2 linked regions of the Diceros bicornis minor genome follow. The protein of the gene in region 1 binds, or shares a complex with, the protein of each later gene. Links are inferred from orthologs where the notes say so. Each region holds a gene or a part of one and is shown on either strand. Other genes may lie near its edges.

The links.
Region 2: PIGQ (region 1) and PIGH share a complex: the UniProt entries of both Homo sapiens proteins name them as parts of the glycosylphosphatidylinositol-N-acetylglucosaminyltransferase (GPI-GnT) complex. The link is inferred for Diceros bicornis minor from reciprocal best matches to the Homo sapiens genes PIGQ and PIGH.

Annotation. Positions count from the first base shown.
Region 1 is NC_080765.1:47,745,156-47,753,252, forward strand, and holds the start of PIGQ (phosphatidylinositol N-acetylglucosaminyltransferase subunit Q), read right to left. Parts: upstream 3,111-8,097; 5' UTR 3,031-3,110; intron 1-3,030. UniProt on the Homo sapiens protein: Part of the glycosylphosphatidylinositol-N-acetylglucosaminyltransferase (GPI-GnT) complex that catalyzes the transfer of N-acetylglucosamine from UDP-N-acetylglucosamine to phosphatidylinositol and participates in the first step of GPI biosynthesis.
Region 2 is NC_080763.1:16,254,906-16,263,084, forward strand, and holds the start of PIGH (phosphatidylinositol N-acetylglucosaminyltransferase subunit H), read right to left. Parts: upstream 3,072-8,179; 5' UTR 3,017-3,071; coding exon 2,837-3,016; intron 1-2,836. UniProt on the Homo sapiens protein: Part of the glycosylphosphatidylinositol-N-acetylglucosaminyltransferase (GPI-GnT) complex that catalyzes the transfer of N-acetylglucosamine from UDP-N-acetylglucosamine to phosphatidylinositol and participates in the first step of GPI biosynthesis.

The sequences.
Region 1 (8,097 bases):
TGGCTGCAGGCCATGGACAACCTGTGGCATAGACAGCCTTGACGGATGCATCCACGTGGCCACAGGGCCCACACACTGGGGCGACCCAGCTTTGGGTTTGGTCAGAGGCTGGTGGGCGCCTTCTAGCTGTCCATCTCACATGGGCACCACCCACACCTCTACCCCAGCTGCTGTGAGCGCAGGCCCAGCCCCAAGCCGCCCCCATCCCCACCCCGAGGCAGGTCAACACACTCCCTCATTTCAAAGACAAGCAGGATGAAGCAGGACGAGGTTACACGACCTGCTCAGGACCACTCACAGGGTGTGCGCACTGAACACGAGGGCTTCAGTTGTTTCTAAGGAAACTGATTAGGATTTTTAATGTGTAGCACATGGAAAGACATAGGATCTCATTAACAATTAAAATAATGCAAATTCAAACTCTAACGAACCTTGATTTACTTACAAAGCTAGCAAGAATAAAGATGAAAATTTAAATAAATTGTTGCCAGCTAAGGGAAACCAGACACGTGCACACTGCCAGCGGCCCTGGGCACTGGTGCAGGTGCCCCCAGCCCGCCCCTGCCCAGTGGGCCCCTGGAGGAGCCTCAGTGCCCAGGGAGCAGGCTCAGGCTCAGCTCTGGGCTCTCAGCTCTCAGGCGGCTTCTGCCTCTCTCCGACCCCCAAGGCCTCCAGCCTCTGGCAGTGCCCACCCTTCCCAGGAGCCCATCCGTCTGCCACTTCAGGGCAGGGCTCCCAGCAGGGGAGTGTCCTCTTGTCACAGCTGAGTGCCTCCTTCAGGAGCATTCCTCCCACCGGGTAGCTATCTAGAAATGGGGGTGGGAAGTTCGCAGGCCCTGGAGAGTGGCAAGATCCCACCAGGCTGAGGGGACGCCAGGCTTCCTGGCCTCTCACGACCTTCATGTGGACTCTGAGCAGCAAGAACGGCCCTAAGCAGCCGGGATGCCTGAATTCTGCGGGACCCTGAGCCTTGGCTTGTCCAGAAGTAAGCTCACTGGGGATGTGGGCTTCTCAGCAAGCACCTCATTCCTCCCTGAGCCCCTCCCAGACGGGGCCTGACGGGCAGTGTGGCGCTGAGTGGATTCGCCTAGGAGCACGCGTTTCTCAGACACTGACTGCCCCCACCTTGTTGGCACAAAGGACAGAGCAGCCGCCCTGAACTAAGACCCCACGTTGGAGCCCACACCTGAGGGAGGGGCACAGGCCTCAGACTGAGCCTAGGCCTCTGTTCCCAGTGCTCACCAGGCCCTCAGGGACAAGGGGACAGAGAGGGACACTCGCGTTGGGATGGTGCAATGTTGCGGGAGGTGCAGGGAGCCCCTTCCTGAGGGTCAGTGGGCCCTAGGAGGGGCCTCACCAACACCAGGGCTTAAGAGGCCACCAGGGCAGCTGCGTTCCTCCACTGCAAGTAGCCCAAATGGGGATTGCAGGATTGAGGCCTCTCCAGCCAGCTTGTTAAAGGGACCTCTTGCGGCCGTGGGTTCCAACTGAAAAGGGTCCCTCTGAGTCAAGCAGCAGCAGGACTCCCAAATGCCCTGCCCCCCCAGCGACCAGAGAGGGCAAGCAACAGTGGGTGCCAGCAGGGGAAGGCCCAGAGCCCGAAAGGAGCCCGAAAGCAGCGCGGGCAGAATCCCTGCGGCCATCAACAAGGGCATCAAGGGCCAACGTGTCTTCCCAACCCTTCTGCGGGGGCCGTCCTCCGGAATAAGGCATCATGAGAGAGAGAGAACAATTTTGCCTGTGAGAGACCTGGTGCATTTGGCTGGGTGACCACCCCGGGGGACCAGCCAGCACGGTCCAAGCCTCTCAGTTCAGCCTGTCGGGACACACCAGCTCAGCCAAATGACATCATGACACTCTGCCTGGGGACTCGTTTCACAGGAGCTAATAAGGAAAGCTGCCCACGGCTACTGTCAGAAAAGAAACACAATTGGCCTAAGTGTGAACAGATGCTCTTGGGGAGCAGGCTACACGGTGTGTTCACTTTGGGAAAACTCGTCGAGTTGTACACATACTCTTTGTGCACTTTGTGTGTATTACGCTTCATCTACAAAGTTTACCCCCCCCCCCAAAAAAAGCAGCAGCTCCTCACGTCTAAAGAAGAGCGGAGGGCAGAAGTTGCCGTTCTTGTCCTTGGGGTAGTGAGAGAGAACTCTTAACAAATTACAGAGCAAATTCCCAGCCCCACTCCCGCCTCAGCCTCTGGGAGCGACCAACACAAAGAAGCCCGCGCAGATCAGACAGAAGATGAAAGAGCAGGCGATCGATAGCAGGGTGCAGGCGGGGGAGCGGGCAGTGACTCCAGCAACATGCGCATCTTTAAAGGCTCTGATAAAAAAACAAAGGTACTGCTAAGAACAACACCAAGTGTGAACCGGCCCCTTCCCGGATCCGTCAGGCCCCCGGGACTCGGGGCGCCCCTCCCGCAGATCCTGAGGTCGAGTTGACCCTAGAAGGGGAGGCTGCTCCCCTCTCATCCCCCACGGACCGGCTCTGGGGGAGCCCCGCCACACCGCCAGGGCTTCCCAGGCGGAACCCTCCTCAGAGCCCCGCACTGCGTCTCAGGAGCGCACGAGTGCTCCATCCCCCTCCATGTGGTTTGCGTTGAAACGACATGGACGAGGTCTCGCGGTGGGTCAACAGCGCTTGCCCCTCGTTTCAGAAGAACGGACGTGAGGAAGGGCTCTGTCTTTGGCCCTCACTGCAGTCAGGGACGACTGGAAGTGCTGGCGGAACGCCCTTCCACAGGTCCCCGCCGCCGGGCCGGGCGTCGAAGGGAGCCGCCCCTCACCGCCGGGGTGAGGGCATCGGACTCCCGGCGGGCACCCGCGGCCCGGCCGCAGATCCGCCGCCGCGGCGCTCGCTGCCCGCCGCGGTCTCGGCCCCCAGCCCGCGGCCCCCGCCAGCCCCGTCTTCCGGGGGCACAGAAGCTCCGGGCGGCGGAGGCCCGCGCGGCCCGGGAGGAACCCCGGAGACCGGCAGCCCGCTCGACTGCGTCGGGCCACGGCGGCTCCCTCCCCGAATGCTCACCGGCTGCCGCCCAGGGCCGCGCGCGCGGGCGGCGGGGTCGGGACGGGGTTGGGGACGGCGTCGGACGCGCCGCGGCGGACGACAGCGCTCGCGGCCCCCAGCCCGCCGCGGCCGCGCCGCGGGACGCCAGGCCCATTTCCGCCGGCTCCAGGGTTGCCGCGCGACGGTCCGGCCCCAAAGGTGCCCGGGCTGCCGCCGGCCCCGCCCAAGCGTTCCGCACGCGCAGCGTTCCCGCCCCGGAGCTAGCGGCCCGCGCGCAGTCCTGTCCCCCCTCAGCGTCCTTGTCCCCCCTTAGCACCCTTGTCCCCCCTCAGCGCCCTTGTGCCCCTCAGCGCCTTTGTCCCCCCTCAGAGTCCTTGTTCCCCTCGGCGTCGTTGTCCCCCTCAGCGTCCTTGTCCCCCCTCAGCGTCTTTGTGCCCCTCAGCGTCCTTGTCCCACTCAGCGTCCTTGTCCCCCTCAGCGTCCTTCTGCCCCTCAGCGTCCTTGTCCCCCCTCAGAGTCCTTGTCGCCCTAGGCGACCTTGTCCCCTTCAGCGTCCTTGTCCCACTCAGCGTCCTTGTCCCCTTCGGCGTCCTTGTCCCCTCGGCGTCCTTGTCCCCCTTGGTGTCGTTGGTCCTTGTCCCCCCTCGGCATCCTTGTCCCCCTCAGCGTCCTTGTCCCCTTCAGAGTCCTTGGTCCCCCTCGGCATCGTTGTCCCCCCGTCGGCGTCCTTGTCCCCGTCGGCGTCGTTGTCCCCCTTGGCGTCCTTGTCCCCCCCGTCGGCGTCCTTGTCCCTCTTGGAGACTTTATCCCTCCTCAGAGTCCTTGTCCCCCTCAGCATCCTTGTCCCCCTCAGAGTCCTTGTGCCCCTCAGAGTCCTTGTCCCCCTTCGGCGTCTTTGTCCCCCGTTGGTGTCCTTGTCCCCCTCGGCATCCTTGTCCCCCGTCGGCATCGTTGCCCCCCTCGGCGTCCTTGCCCCCCTCGGCGTCCTTGCCCCCCCCGGGCGTCCTTGTGCCCCTTGGAGTCCTTGACCCCCCGGGCGTCCTCACCCCCCTCGGTGTCCTCGCCCCCCTCGGCGTCCTCGCCCCCCTCGGCGTCCTTGTCCCCCCAGTGCCCTTGTCCCCTCAGCGTCCTTGTCCCCCTCGGCATCCTTGTCTCTTCTCAGCATCCTTGTTCCCTCAGCGTCCTTGTCCCCGCTCAGTGTCCTTGTCCCCCCTCAGCGTCCTTGTCCCACTCAGCATCCTTGTCCCCCTCAGCATCCTTGTCCCCACTCCAGTCGACTCCGCATCCCCAACACCTCTGCCTTCCAGTACCCCACCTCCCCCACCCCCGGTTTCCTCCTCTGAGGGACCCTGTGGACTTGGCTTTCGAGGGTTCCGACCTCAGGCTGCCCCCATCCTGGCCCCCTCGCGCACTGGTCTCTGCAGAGGGGCACCCCAGGTCCCCCCAGGGCCAGGTGGGCTAGGAAGGCTGGGTCTTGGAGGGCCAGCCCAGAGGCTGCAGCCATCCGATCTGACCGTCAGGACGTGGCCCTGGCCCCTCCTGCTCCAGGGAATAACACCCCAACACCAGCAGCAACAGCTAACCTTTATTGAGCACCTACTGCACACGCTTCCTTATATTGACCCAGTTTATCCCCACCTGCAGGGGCCAGGACATACAGGGGGGACCTTGACAGACGCAGTGGCCTAAACCACAGACCGCAATGTCCTGGTGGCCCCCGATGACCTCTCCCGGGAGCGAGGAGCCGGCCGACCCCGGGCTCAGAGAAACTCTGCACCTCCCACCCTCCGGGCCTGTTCCCCGGTTTCTCCAGCAGCAGGAGTCTGTCCTCACGGGAAGGCTTTCCTGGACTCGACACCACCCGCCGCCCTCCAGCACCCCACCCATGAGCGTGGAGCTGCTTGGTCCTGGTTTGCAGAGGAGATGAGGGCTCAGCCCGCGAGATGGCCTCACACAAGAGACGTGGACCAGGGGCAGAGAGGATCCCCACTCGGCCACGTGCCACCCCAGGTGCCCTCCCCTGCCTCCCCCTTACCTCAGCTGGGCCCAGAGAAGCTGCAGAAGGCCGGGGCGCCTCTGAGGATGGGGGACAGTGAGGGGCCGCACCCCTGCCCAGGCCGCCCAGCCCAGGCAAGCCGGGCCGCGCCCTCCTGCCTGCTTCTGTCTGATTAGGAGGCCGGGCCTGGGGCCCTGGCGGGAGATCCTGCCTGGGCAAGTGCTGGCAGCCAGCCCAACACGCCAAAGGTCTCCAGGCTTCGGCTGCTGGCCCCAAAGCTCAGGCCTTCCAGGCCCTGAGCCAGCGGGCCGGGCCGGAGTGGACATGGGGGCAGTGAGCACCGGGGCCCACTGAACTGGGTCTTGGGGGAGGCTGGGAGGCAGCTGGTTCGTGGCTGCTGACAGTCTGAACACTGCACAAGGAAGACGGGGGCCAGCCTGGGCCTGACCCAGTAGATGCTCAGCAAATGTCACAAATGTGCAGGGTCAGGAAGGCATGGCCAGCAGCCCTGCCGGACCCCAGCAACCCTGAATGTTCCTCCCGTGGTGGTCCGGGATCCACGCACCGTGAGGGAGCTGCTTCCATCTGAGCCCACCGAGTCAGGCCAGCTCCGAGTAGTACTGGTACACCTTGATGTAGCCATCCCCTGCATCCGCCACCATGAGCTGACCTGGGGCGCACAGGCCACACCCAAGGGCCTCAGCCCCTCAGACACCAGGCAGATGGGCGCCCCAGCTCTGGGGAACAGGGTCACCTGGCGCCGCTGCTCGTCCACCACAATAACGCTGCCCTCCGCGTTGGTGCACACACCTGCTGGGCTGCCAAAGGCATGCCCCGTCAGGCCCGCCAGGGAGCCCAGGGGCTGGCGGGCACTGCTGAACAGCTGCACGTCCCAAAACTCCTCACTCACGGTGAAGCCCCCGTCAGGCCCCAGGCCCACCCAGCAGGGGTCCTCCAGACCCAGCATGGAGGCTGGGGCCAGCCGCTCCAAGGCAGGGCCCAATGTGAAGCTGTATATGGCCCCAGGCACGTAGTCCGCCACCAGGAGGCGGCCAAGGGCATCCACAGCCAGCCCCCGGGGGACCAAGAAGGTGCCCACTGTCACCCAGTGGCCTTAGGGGGCTCGGGCAGTGTGCTGGAGCACGTGCACAGCTCCGTGGACGAGGTCACTGACCACTACGAGCCCAGCAGCTGTCACAGCCACATCCTCCGGCACGAAGGCCCCAGCCCCTGGCATGTGTCAGGGCAGGTGGCAGATGGAGCGTCCCTCGAGGTCCAGCATGTGGATGCAGGGTGCAGCCCCAGCCGTCAGGAAGAGCAGGCCGTCCAGGGAGCAGTGCAGGCCCCGGGGCCCACCCACAGCCCCTGCGGGCACTGGGATCCGCCCTAGCAGCTGGCACCCCCGGAAGTGAACAGGGTCTCCAGGCGGGCCCAGCATGAGGAGCAGGCCCTGGGGGCGGTGGCCGGTTGGTAGGGGAGGCCCAGGAGGTCGGAGCAGGAGGCCAGAGGGCGGGCAGGCAGGCAGGCGGAGATCACAGACTCAGCCTCTCTGAGCAGAGTCCCCGCAGCTGGGCCAAGTTTGGGGCTGCAAGAGAAATAACAGCCACTGTACGCCAAGCAGCGGCCACAGGGATCCCCTGCGCCCTTCCAGGCAGTGCTGGCGTCCTCCTGTTTTACAGGTGAGGAAGCTGAGGCAGGGGGAGCTGGATCTGAACTCAGTTCCACCAGGTCCTGAGTGCCAGCCCAGTCTGAAGGCCCAGCTGCCGGCTGTGTCTCTAGGTCCCTGGAACATAATTCTGGGAGACACGCAACTCGTGAATGTCACCGTGGGTTTGCTCTGAGGCCCGAATGAGCCCACGGGCACTGGGACGTCCTGAGGTCGGGGTGGGGGTGGTTGGTGACAGACGAGCTGTGCTTCTCAAATTCATCTGTCCACGGAACCCTTTCTTCCATCAGGCAGGAAAGTGACCCTCCTTGGGGGCAGCCCAAGCCCCTGCCTGTGGCCCCCACACAGCCCCTGGAGACTTCCTACCCTGAGTGGTGAGGCAGGGGTCCTTTCCTAGGCCTCTCCGCCTGCCCCTACCCCCAGTGAGGCCAGAAGGGAGGGTCTTCTACCTGGGGCCGGGTTCCCTGGGCCCTGCTCCACCAGCAGTCTCTGTTGTTGGAAATGAGAGCCTGAGAGAGTGGGAGGAGCCGCCCTGACGCAGCTGGCACAGGTGGGGGGGAGGGGGTGGGCGGGACTCCGGCCGTGGCCACGTTTGAGCAGTGGCCCAAGGCAGCTTTCTGGAGTCCTGTCACTCAGCTGCTAACCCCCCAGGGACTCCTCAGTGCTGCTACATTCCTGCCTCAAGGCCTTTGCACTGGCCTCTGGACATTCTTTCTGCTGCCCCTACATGGCTGGATGCCGCTCAGGGTCCAGCCAGCCAACTCCTCCAGGAGGCCCCCAGGGCCCGCCACAATCCGCTGCAATGCAGTTCGTGGGCTTGCTTCTCAGGAGGCGCCAGCAAACGTCTGTGTATGAGGCAGCCCCACCCGATGTCCCCCAGCAGGACTGCAGAGTCAGGACCTCGAAGAAGGTGCTGCACCCCCACCTGCTGGCTGGGTCACCCACCAGAGTCCAGGTTAGGGGACCCCAGGGGGTCCACCTTGCCAAGCCCTAGACTGGGAAGGTTGGGTCCTGTCTCTCTGATCCCATTTCTGCACCTGTGAAGCTGGGGTGAGGCCCCCCAGCAGGGCCAGGCTCATGTCTGCCCATTGGTTAATGAGAAATTGGGGTGCAGTAGACACGTGGGGTTGCTGACAGGAGGCCGAGGAGGGGTGGGTCTCCCTCAGACTCAGGACCTGGGGATTTTCCGGACACTCCTAACTTAGCCCCCAGCCTCCTGCAGCCCCTCCAGGAAGCCCCTGGAAGGTGGAGGGGGTCAGCCTCTGTCTGCAACCCACAGTGCTCCCCACCTGGCCGGCCCGCACCCCAGCTCTGGATGCTGCCTCCTAATGCCCCGAGGTGGGAAGGTTGGCCAGCACTATCTGCTGCCCATCTTGATTAATGGGGGAGCCACAGGTCCTGCTGTGACTGGCCCCAGCCTGGC
Region 2 (8,179 bases), on another chromosome or scaffold:
ACTGAGGTCTCTTTTTTCCTACTGCAATAGTTTCTGAATAAAATCTGTTTTTACCACTTTACTGACCGGCTCTGGTTTTCTTTGACAGTACCTTTCTACTTTCTTCTGCCTAACACATAGTATTAGATCAGGAGTCTGCAAACTATTTGGGCCTGTGGTTCACCTTGAGCTAAGAATGCTTTTTACAATTTTTAAAGGGTTGTTAAAAAAAAGAAAAAGAAACAGAAAAATATGAGACAGAGACCTGTAAAGTCTAAAATATTTACTATTCGGCCTTTTAAAGAAAAAGGTTGCTGACCTGTGTGCTAGATAATTAGTTGCTGATTAATGAATGGGGGATGGAGAAATCTATGTGCTGCGTCTCTGATGATCCAGAAATATCTACTTTGAGTTACTTAAATGCCTAGTATCTAGTACAGTGTCTTGTACATAGTCTGAAAGCATTATGGAAGAATGGAGAGAAATAAAATTCAGTTCTGGCCCTCAGAGATTTATTAGAGGCAAGATTAATACATATAAAATACTTCTGGAGAATACTATGATACTGACTGAAATGCCTAAGAAAGGATTAAAAGAGAGAGCCAGAAAGACAAAGACTAAAGCACACAGGAACATCCTATGAAGACTTCCAAGGAAGCAGAATTTAATTGGTGCAGAGAAGGTGGTGGTTATTGACAGATATACTAAATTGAGAAAAGGAAGGGGGGAGAACATTCCATATTGGAATAAATAAGGAAAAAACCTGGAATTTTAATAGAACAGTGAATTCAAAAACTGGAGGGAGGGCCGGCCCCATGGCGCAGCGGTTAAGTGCGCGGGCTCAGCTGCTGGCGGCCCGGGCTTGGATCCCGGGCGTGCACCGACGCACCGCTTCTCCGGCCATGCTGAGGCCGCGTCCCACATACAGCAACTAGAAGGACGTGCAACTCCAACATACAACTATCTACTGGTGCTTTGGGGGAAAAAAAGGAGGAGGATTGGCAATAGATGTTAGCTCAGAGCCGGTCTTCCTCAGCAAAAAGAGGAGGATTAGCATGGATGTTAGCTCAGGGCTGATCTTCCTCACAAAAAAAAAAAAACTGGAGGGCAAGAAGAGATGAAGAGCAGTAAATGTCTAGGGGATTTGATTCATATCAGTTTTTTAATATGGTAATCTCTGCCCAAAACTTCATTACTACCTGCATTTTTTATACTTCATTTTTCTGTCTGAAATTCTAACAATTCAATATTCATCTGGGTTGAAGTTAAGCCACATGTTTTAATGAATTCCTTCATCAGATTTCTTCTCACTCCTAGCTGAGATTCATTACTCTGACAAACAGTTTTGAATAGGGGGAAAGATAAGAATTTTGGTACACAGAGCCCTTAAGAAGTGTTGCAGTGGAGTTTAAAGGAAGATGAGGTTACTGAGTCCTAGGCACTTGATGGGGGTAAGTGGGATATACCACGATGAGAGAGATGAGTACAAAAGGGAGGTGGATTAATAACAAACTTCTCCTAATTAAAAATTTTGTCTAAGCAAGTCCTCCCCAAGGAGGAGACATCATAATATGGTAGAAAAGAAAGGGTTTCAGAGTTAGACAGCCCTGGGTTTGAAGCCCAGGTATGCTACTAGCTTTGTAACTTCGGAGAAGTTCATTCTTTCTGAGCCTTGGTTTTCTTCTAAGGTTGAAATGGGGCATTCAGTAAAGCAGCTGGCATGTAGTGGGCATTTAATAAATATCTGTTCCCTCCTCCTCACATGAGCCAGAACAAGTTAGTATTAAAATTCAACTATATTATAAATTAAATCTTTTTTGTGGGAGGGGGAAGGACTGTCCTGGCAACTTAGCCATTTCAACTGACTTATGAACAAACTTTTAGATACAATTTGGTACAAATTAGGGCAGTCTTAATTCTGCATACATCTATGCTAAATTACCACGCTCTGAAAATATGCTCTGATGGCAAAAAAGCTAACGGATGCAGTAATGGAAACAATATGCAAATATCCTGCTGCATTTAGCTCTGGTCAGATCACTCCTAGAATAATATATTCAATTCAGGGTACCACACATGAAACTAAACTCATTCCGAAAAGGGCAATTAGGATCATTCTTTTTATTTGAGGGCTGTCACAAAGCTCCTGCATGTGACCCTCACAATACTGTGAAGGTGGCATGGCAGATATTAATTCCACTTTAGAGATGTGAAAACTGACGCTCAGAAAATAGGAATGAGTCTGAAAATTGAGCACAGAAACCACCCATCTCAGAAATTTCATAATTCTTTAGAAAGTACTTAAAGTTGGCGAAGGGGTTTGTGAAGGGAGGGTAAGCTGCCTTGAAAAACAAAGATTACGAAGAAGTATAAAAGCTGCTATCAAGCTCTTAAATACCTTGTGTGTATGTGTGACACACACACACATTCTGGAGGCAAAGACAGTTTCTAGAAGACTATATAAGATATTGTTAGCAGTGATACCTCTGAGTGGAAGAGATGGACGAGTACGATCCACTTAACAGTTCTCTGAACTCCTGGAACTGAGTTACTGTGAGCATGGACTATATAGGGCACGTGGAAGTTAGCCTGTCGTGCACAGACTAGATGTACGCGGAGTGGAGCCACAGAGCAGAGCGGCGACCCCGGAGAAGTGTAAAGTACAGAAGCACAAACTTCGCTCAACGTAATGAAAAGAGCAGCGAATGGCGTCCCGGGGCCAGCGAGTTCCCGCCCTCTGGCCCTACGACTTTAGGAGGGTCCGACGAGAGGTCCGGGCTCGCCACTAAGACCCCAAAGACCCTTCCAAACCCAAGCCCCCGACTCCGACCGCGGGAAGGGGCCGACCGGCCATTACCTCGTAGAGGGTGAAGAGTCCGTAGGCCGCTAGCCACACGGTGCAGGTGACAGCAGTGAGCGAGCGCAACGAGAGCCGAGGGCAGCTGAGGCAGAACTCCCGGCAGGACGGGGAGTAGTAGCGGCGCTGCAGAGCCAGGCGACCGCCGCAGATATCCGAGAAGCTCTGCTCGTCCTCCATGACCCGCTCGCCCCCATACGGTCAGGCCGCGCCGCTCTAGCCCGCCCGCCGCGTCCTCTCGCCGGCTCTGGACTCACTTCCGGAGAACGGGTTTGGCCACGCCCCCTCCCCACGCTCCGCGCAGCCGCAGTGGCACGCCGACAGCCGTGGAAGGGTATTCGGGGTTCTGTTTTCGCGCCTGGGCTCGCCCAGGATTCTATGATTGTCTGCTCTAGAGGTTCGTAGGGGGCCAACAATTCAGCGGTCAGGTTAAAACTGCTATTAACGTGATTTTGCTCGACAAACTGGTTTCTGTTTCTAAGGCAGAGTGCGCCCCAGGAAGACAGTCCACAGGTATTCATTCGTTCCACGTACTCATTCACTCATTCCTGCGCCAGGTAGTTTTAGGTGCTGAGGATTCAGAGGTGAACAATATTGACAAGGTTCCTGCTTTCGAGTAGTTTCCTTCCTAGTAAGAGAAATATGGAAATAATTTCAGAGAGTTCTGTTGGCAATAATATGACCGGCGGGGGTGGCTTGGGGACTTTCGATAGGGCAGTCGGGAAAGTCTCTATGAGGAAAGACACTGGAGTACAGGGATGAGGAGCCAGACTGGTCCGGGGGAGCTCTGGAGGAGAAATTTGCTAGGAAGGAGGACCAGGAAAGGCAAAGCCCCCGAGGCTGGGACAAGGTTGGCTTATTGGAGGAATCAAAAGGTCAGAGAGGCTGACGCATGGGGAATGCAGTTGTAAGCTGGGGAGGCAGGTAGGGGTCAGATCCAGGAGGGTCTTGTAGGGGCCTGGTAAGGAGTTTGGATTCCATTGCCTGGGATTTCTCTTTCCCAAACCACGCGTGGAGCACTGAGTAGGCAGACAAGTCCTGGCTGGGAGTTTAGCAAAAGTGGAAGATGCAAACGGCATGGATAATAAAATTACTAAAATGAGTAATAGCAGCCTGTGAGTTCCCTTTTTTTTTTACTTCGGATGTGACCTGAGAGTGGTTGTGTGGCTTGTTAAAAGAGTTATGGTGCTTCAGCCCTGAGGCGGCATCATGTATTGAAGAATTGATCCGTTTGTGTATGAAGATAAATGTCATAACGGTCTCACCAGCTTTAAATCTCGCTGATGAAAGTCAGGTTTAATTTCTCCATTTTCACCCAGAATTTTGTTCCCCTCTTTTTTTCTAAAAGATTTTCTTCAAATATTGCTTTGTTTTCCCAATTTTATTTCTGTACCTTGAAACTTACCAAGCAATACACCCCTCTCATTTTTGTAAATATCATGTGATGGTTTTTGTAATTATAAAACTGATGTTTGCTCATTGTGGAAAATTTGAAAAATACAGAAAAGAAGAAAAATTTAAACCACCCATATTTCCACGAGAGATAAGCACTATCGATGTTTTGGGGAAACCTCTAGTCCTGGAGTTCTTAACCTGGGCTCCATGGATAAAATCAAAATTTCATCTTTCGTTTCATTAACTTCTAATTGAAATTCAGCATTTCTTTTGCTTATGAATGTAGCAACAAACCAATTAGTAATACTTGTGATTTTTGTCACCAATAGAAATCACAGATATTTTCATTTCATAATAATTGTTAGTTATATCAAAGTGTCATTTCCACTCATCATTACTTCAAAATTGCAGTAACTATTAGACCCACTACTAGGGTCTTGTTATTTAATGTGTCGATGGAGACACATATAACTATAACATTTTTAAAATATTTTGATAACTATATTTTAATTCAGTTTTCTTTGTACTCCTATGTATTTGTTCATTTTGAAACATTATTGTGATAAGGAATCCCTTAGGTTTACCAGACTTACGGAGGGTCTGTGGCACAAAAAAGTTCAAGAACCTGTGCAGGCTCAGAAGTTTCACAACTGTAGAGTCATAGATAGAAAAAAAGACACCTAAATATACTTACTTTTTTAAATAATTTGGGATAGTGTGGTAATGTAATTCCAAAATCTTTATAACTGCTTTGCTCTGTCAGATCACAGCGTCATCTTAACTCTGTTATGCAGTTTGGCACCTCAGTAGAAATGGAAACCTATGTATTTGCCATTTACCTAGATGCCAACTGGGAAATCAAGTGACAAGCTCTCTTGACCATGACTGTGTAAAAACAGCAAGGAGTGATTCTTTTAGCTCTCAATGTTGGATTCCAAAGTATTCCCCAGACTCACAAGTTCAGTGGAATATGTCAACAACGAAGTGCAGCTAATGAAAAGAACTTAGACTTAGCAGTTGGCAAGTTTCTCCAAGGAGGTTTGATATCTTTTTGCAGGGTCACTGAAGGAGTCTCACAACTAATTCTCTAGTGAATTCAGTTGTGGAGAAGCAGAGAAAGGAAGCATGAGAAACATGTGTACGCTTGTATTTGTCAAAGTAGGCTAACTGCTATTTAAAAACAAACACCTCACAATTTCAGTGGCTTAACACAAATTTTTATTTATTGTCTGTATGCTGTTCCACTTGGGTGCTCCTGGTCAAATGACTCATAATTTTTTGCCAAGTGGTGATTCAGAGACCCAGTCTCCTTCTATCTAGTGGCTACCCTTCCTTGGGGCCTCCTATGTTCCTCTCCATTGGATCCTTTACATCTGGCCAACAGATGAGGGGCAAGAATGGAGGATCATGCATGGGATGGTTTTATGGCAGAGCCTTCCACCCACATTCCACTGGGCCAGAACCCATTAACATGGCTATACCTAACTTCAGAGGAGGCTGGGAAACACGGTCTGTCAGTATGCCTAGTGGGGAAAGAGAAACGATTTGGTGAATAACTAGCCAGTCTTTGCTGCGCTTTCCAGAGTTCTGGCTACAAGAACCAGGGAATATATTTGAGTGCATGGAGCATTGTGATGGCAGTACACAGGCAGTACACAGTAATCTGACTTACTTTTGATAAGATGGGTAGTTATTTCTACAGTTGAAGTTATTCTTAGAACCTGAATGTCTATCAGTATGAATAGTAAGAAAAAATCTAATGAAAGAATTCAGTTAACTTTTTACTTTTATGGCCCCTGCTGGGTTCTTAAAACTCTTCTTTAGAAACTTCTTTTAGTATTTGCTTACACTTGTGGATTGAGTACTTGTTCTAAGAATACTGTCTTATACTGTAATTTTTATTCTATATACTTTTTTATGATGCAGCATTCATGAGTGCTGCTATTGTGTTAACTGAGAGTGAGTCTCGTCTTCAGGGCCACTTAACCCATGGGGAGAAAAAGTAAAGGCCCATATAAGTAAAAAATTCCAACTAAATAGGGTTTTAAAAAGATAGATATAACACCTTTCATCTTGTTTAGAATTCCATTTTGATTTATCCATATAGTGTTTATGAGTGTATCTCTGTGTAGCTTTTTTAGTGGTTGCTCTAGGTATTATATTATATATACACGACTTTATTAGAAAAAAGTCTTCCTCCTGTGTTTCTCCTTTAGTCTCACACTACTACCACACTACCAACAACCAGCTGGGTGTCCTACAATTTAACTCAATTCTGACACTATCTACCTGGAGATAGTGTCAGATCCCACAGTTTAAGGGCTCAGTCCAACAAGACTTCCCCCACAAATTCAGATGCCAATTGCCTTTGGATGCCAATTGCAAGTAGTAGGTCCCCAGGTTCCCCACGACATCTGTCTGATATGGCTACAAGTTGGAGGTTCCCATGCCCTTGGATTTGATTGTTTGCTAGAAGAGCTCACAAAACTCAGGGAAACACATTTTCCAGTTTATTATATGGTAAAGGATATGATAAAAGATACAGATGAAGAGATACATAAGGTGAGGTATGGGAGGGTCCTGAATGCAGGAGTTTCTGTCCCCATGGAGTTGGCGTTCGTCACCCTGCCAGTATGTGGATGTGGATCCTACCCCATTTATAATTGCCTTAATATTTCCTCTACATTCATTGAGAACCACATCAGACTGTGGCATAATTTTCACTTCAGCCATCAAACATAATTTAGAAAACTCAAGAGGAGAGAGGAAGTCTATTGTGTTTACTCATATTTTTGCTCTTTCGATTTTTTCTTCCTTTTTTTTTTTTAAAGATTTTATTTATTTATTTTTTTCTCCCCCAAAGCCCCAGTAGATAGTTGTATGTCATAGCTGCACATCCTTCCAGTTGCTGTATGTGGGACATGGCCTCAGCATGGCCGAAGAAGCGGTGCGTCGGTGCGCGCCCGGGATCCAAACCCGGGCCGCCAGCAGCGGAGCCCACGCACTTAACCGCTAAGCCACGGGGCTGGCCCATTTTCTTCCTTCTTGATGTTCCAAAATTCCTTCTCTTATTTCCTTTCTGCTCAGAGAACTTCCTTTACCCATTCTTTTAAGGTAGGTCTGTTGGTGACAAATTCTCTTAGTTTTCCTTCGAGAATGTCTTGATTTCCCCTTCATTCCTGGAGGATATTTTTATTGGATATAGAATTCTGGGTTGACACTTTTCTTTCAGCACCTGGAAAATATTGTGCCACTTCTTTCTGGCCTCCGTGGTTTCTGATGGGATATCTCTGTCATTTGAATAATTTTACCCCTATAGGTAAGGTGTTGTTTCTCCATCACTGCTTTCAAGAGTTTTTTCTTTGTCTTTAGTTTTCAGAAGTTTGTCTATGATATATCTTGGCATGAATTTCTTTGGAATTATCCCGTTTGGAGTTTGCTCAGCTTCTTGAATTTGTAAGTTTAGATCTTGCCAAATTTAGGAAATTTTCAGCCATAATTTCTTCTTTTTTTTTTTTTTTTTCAGCCTCACTCTCTTTCTCTTCTCCTTCTGGGACTCAAGTGACACTATTGTTAGGCTTTTTTTGTTATAGCCCTATAGGTCCCTGAAGCTCTGTTCATTTTTTTTTTTTTCAGTCTATTTTCTTTCTCTTGGTCAGATTGGGTAATTTCTATTGTTCTATCTTCAAGTTCGCTGATTCTTTCCTGTGTCTTCTCCATTCTTTTGATGAGCCCATACATTGAGGTTTTTTATTTTAGTTATTATATTTTTCAGTTCTAAAGTTACCATTTGGTTCTTCTTGATATCATCTATTCTTTACTGAGACTTTCTATTTTTCCATTTGTTTGAAGTGTGTTTGTAATTGCTGTTGAAGCATTTTTATGATGACTGCTTTAAAATCCTTGTCAGATAATTCTAACATCTATGTCTTCTTGGTATTGGCATCT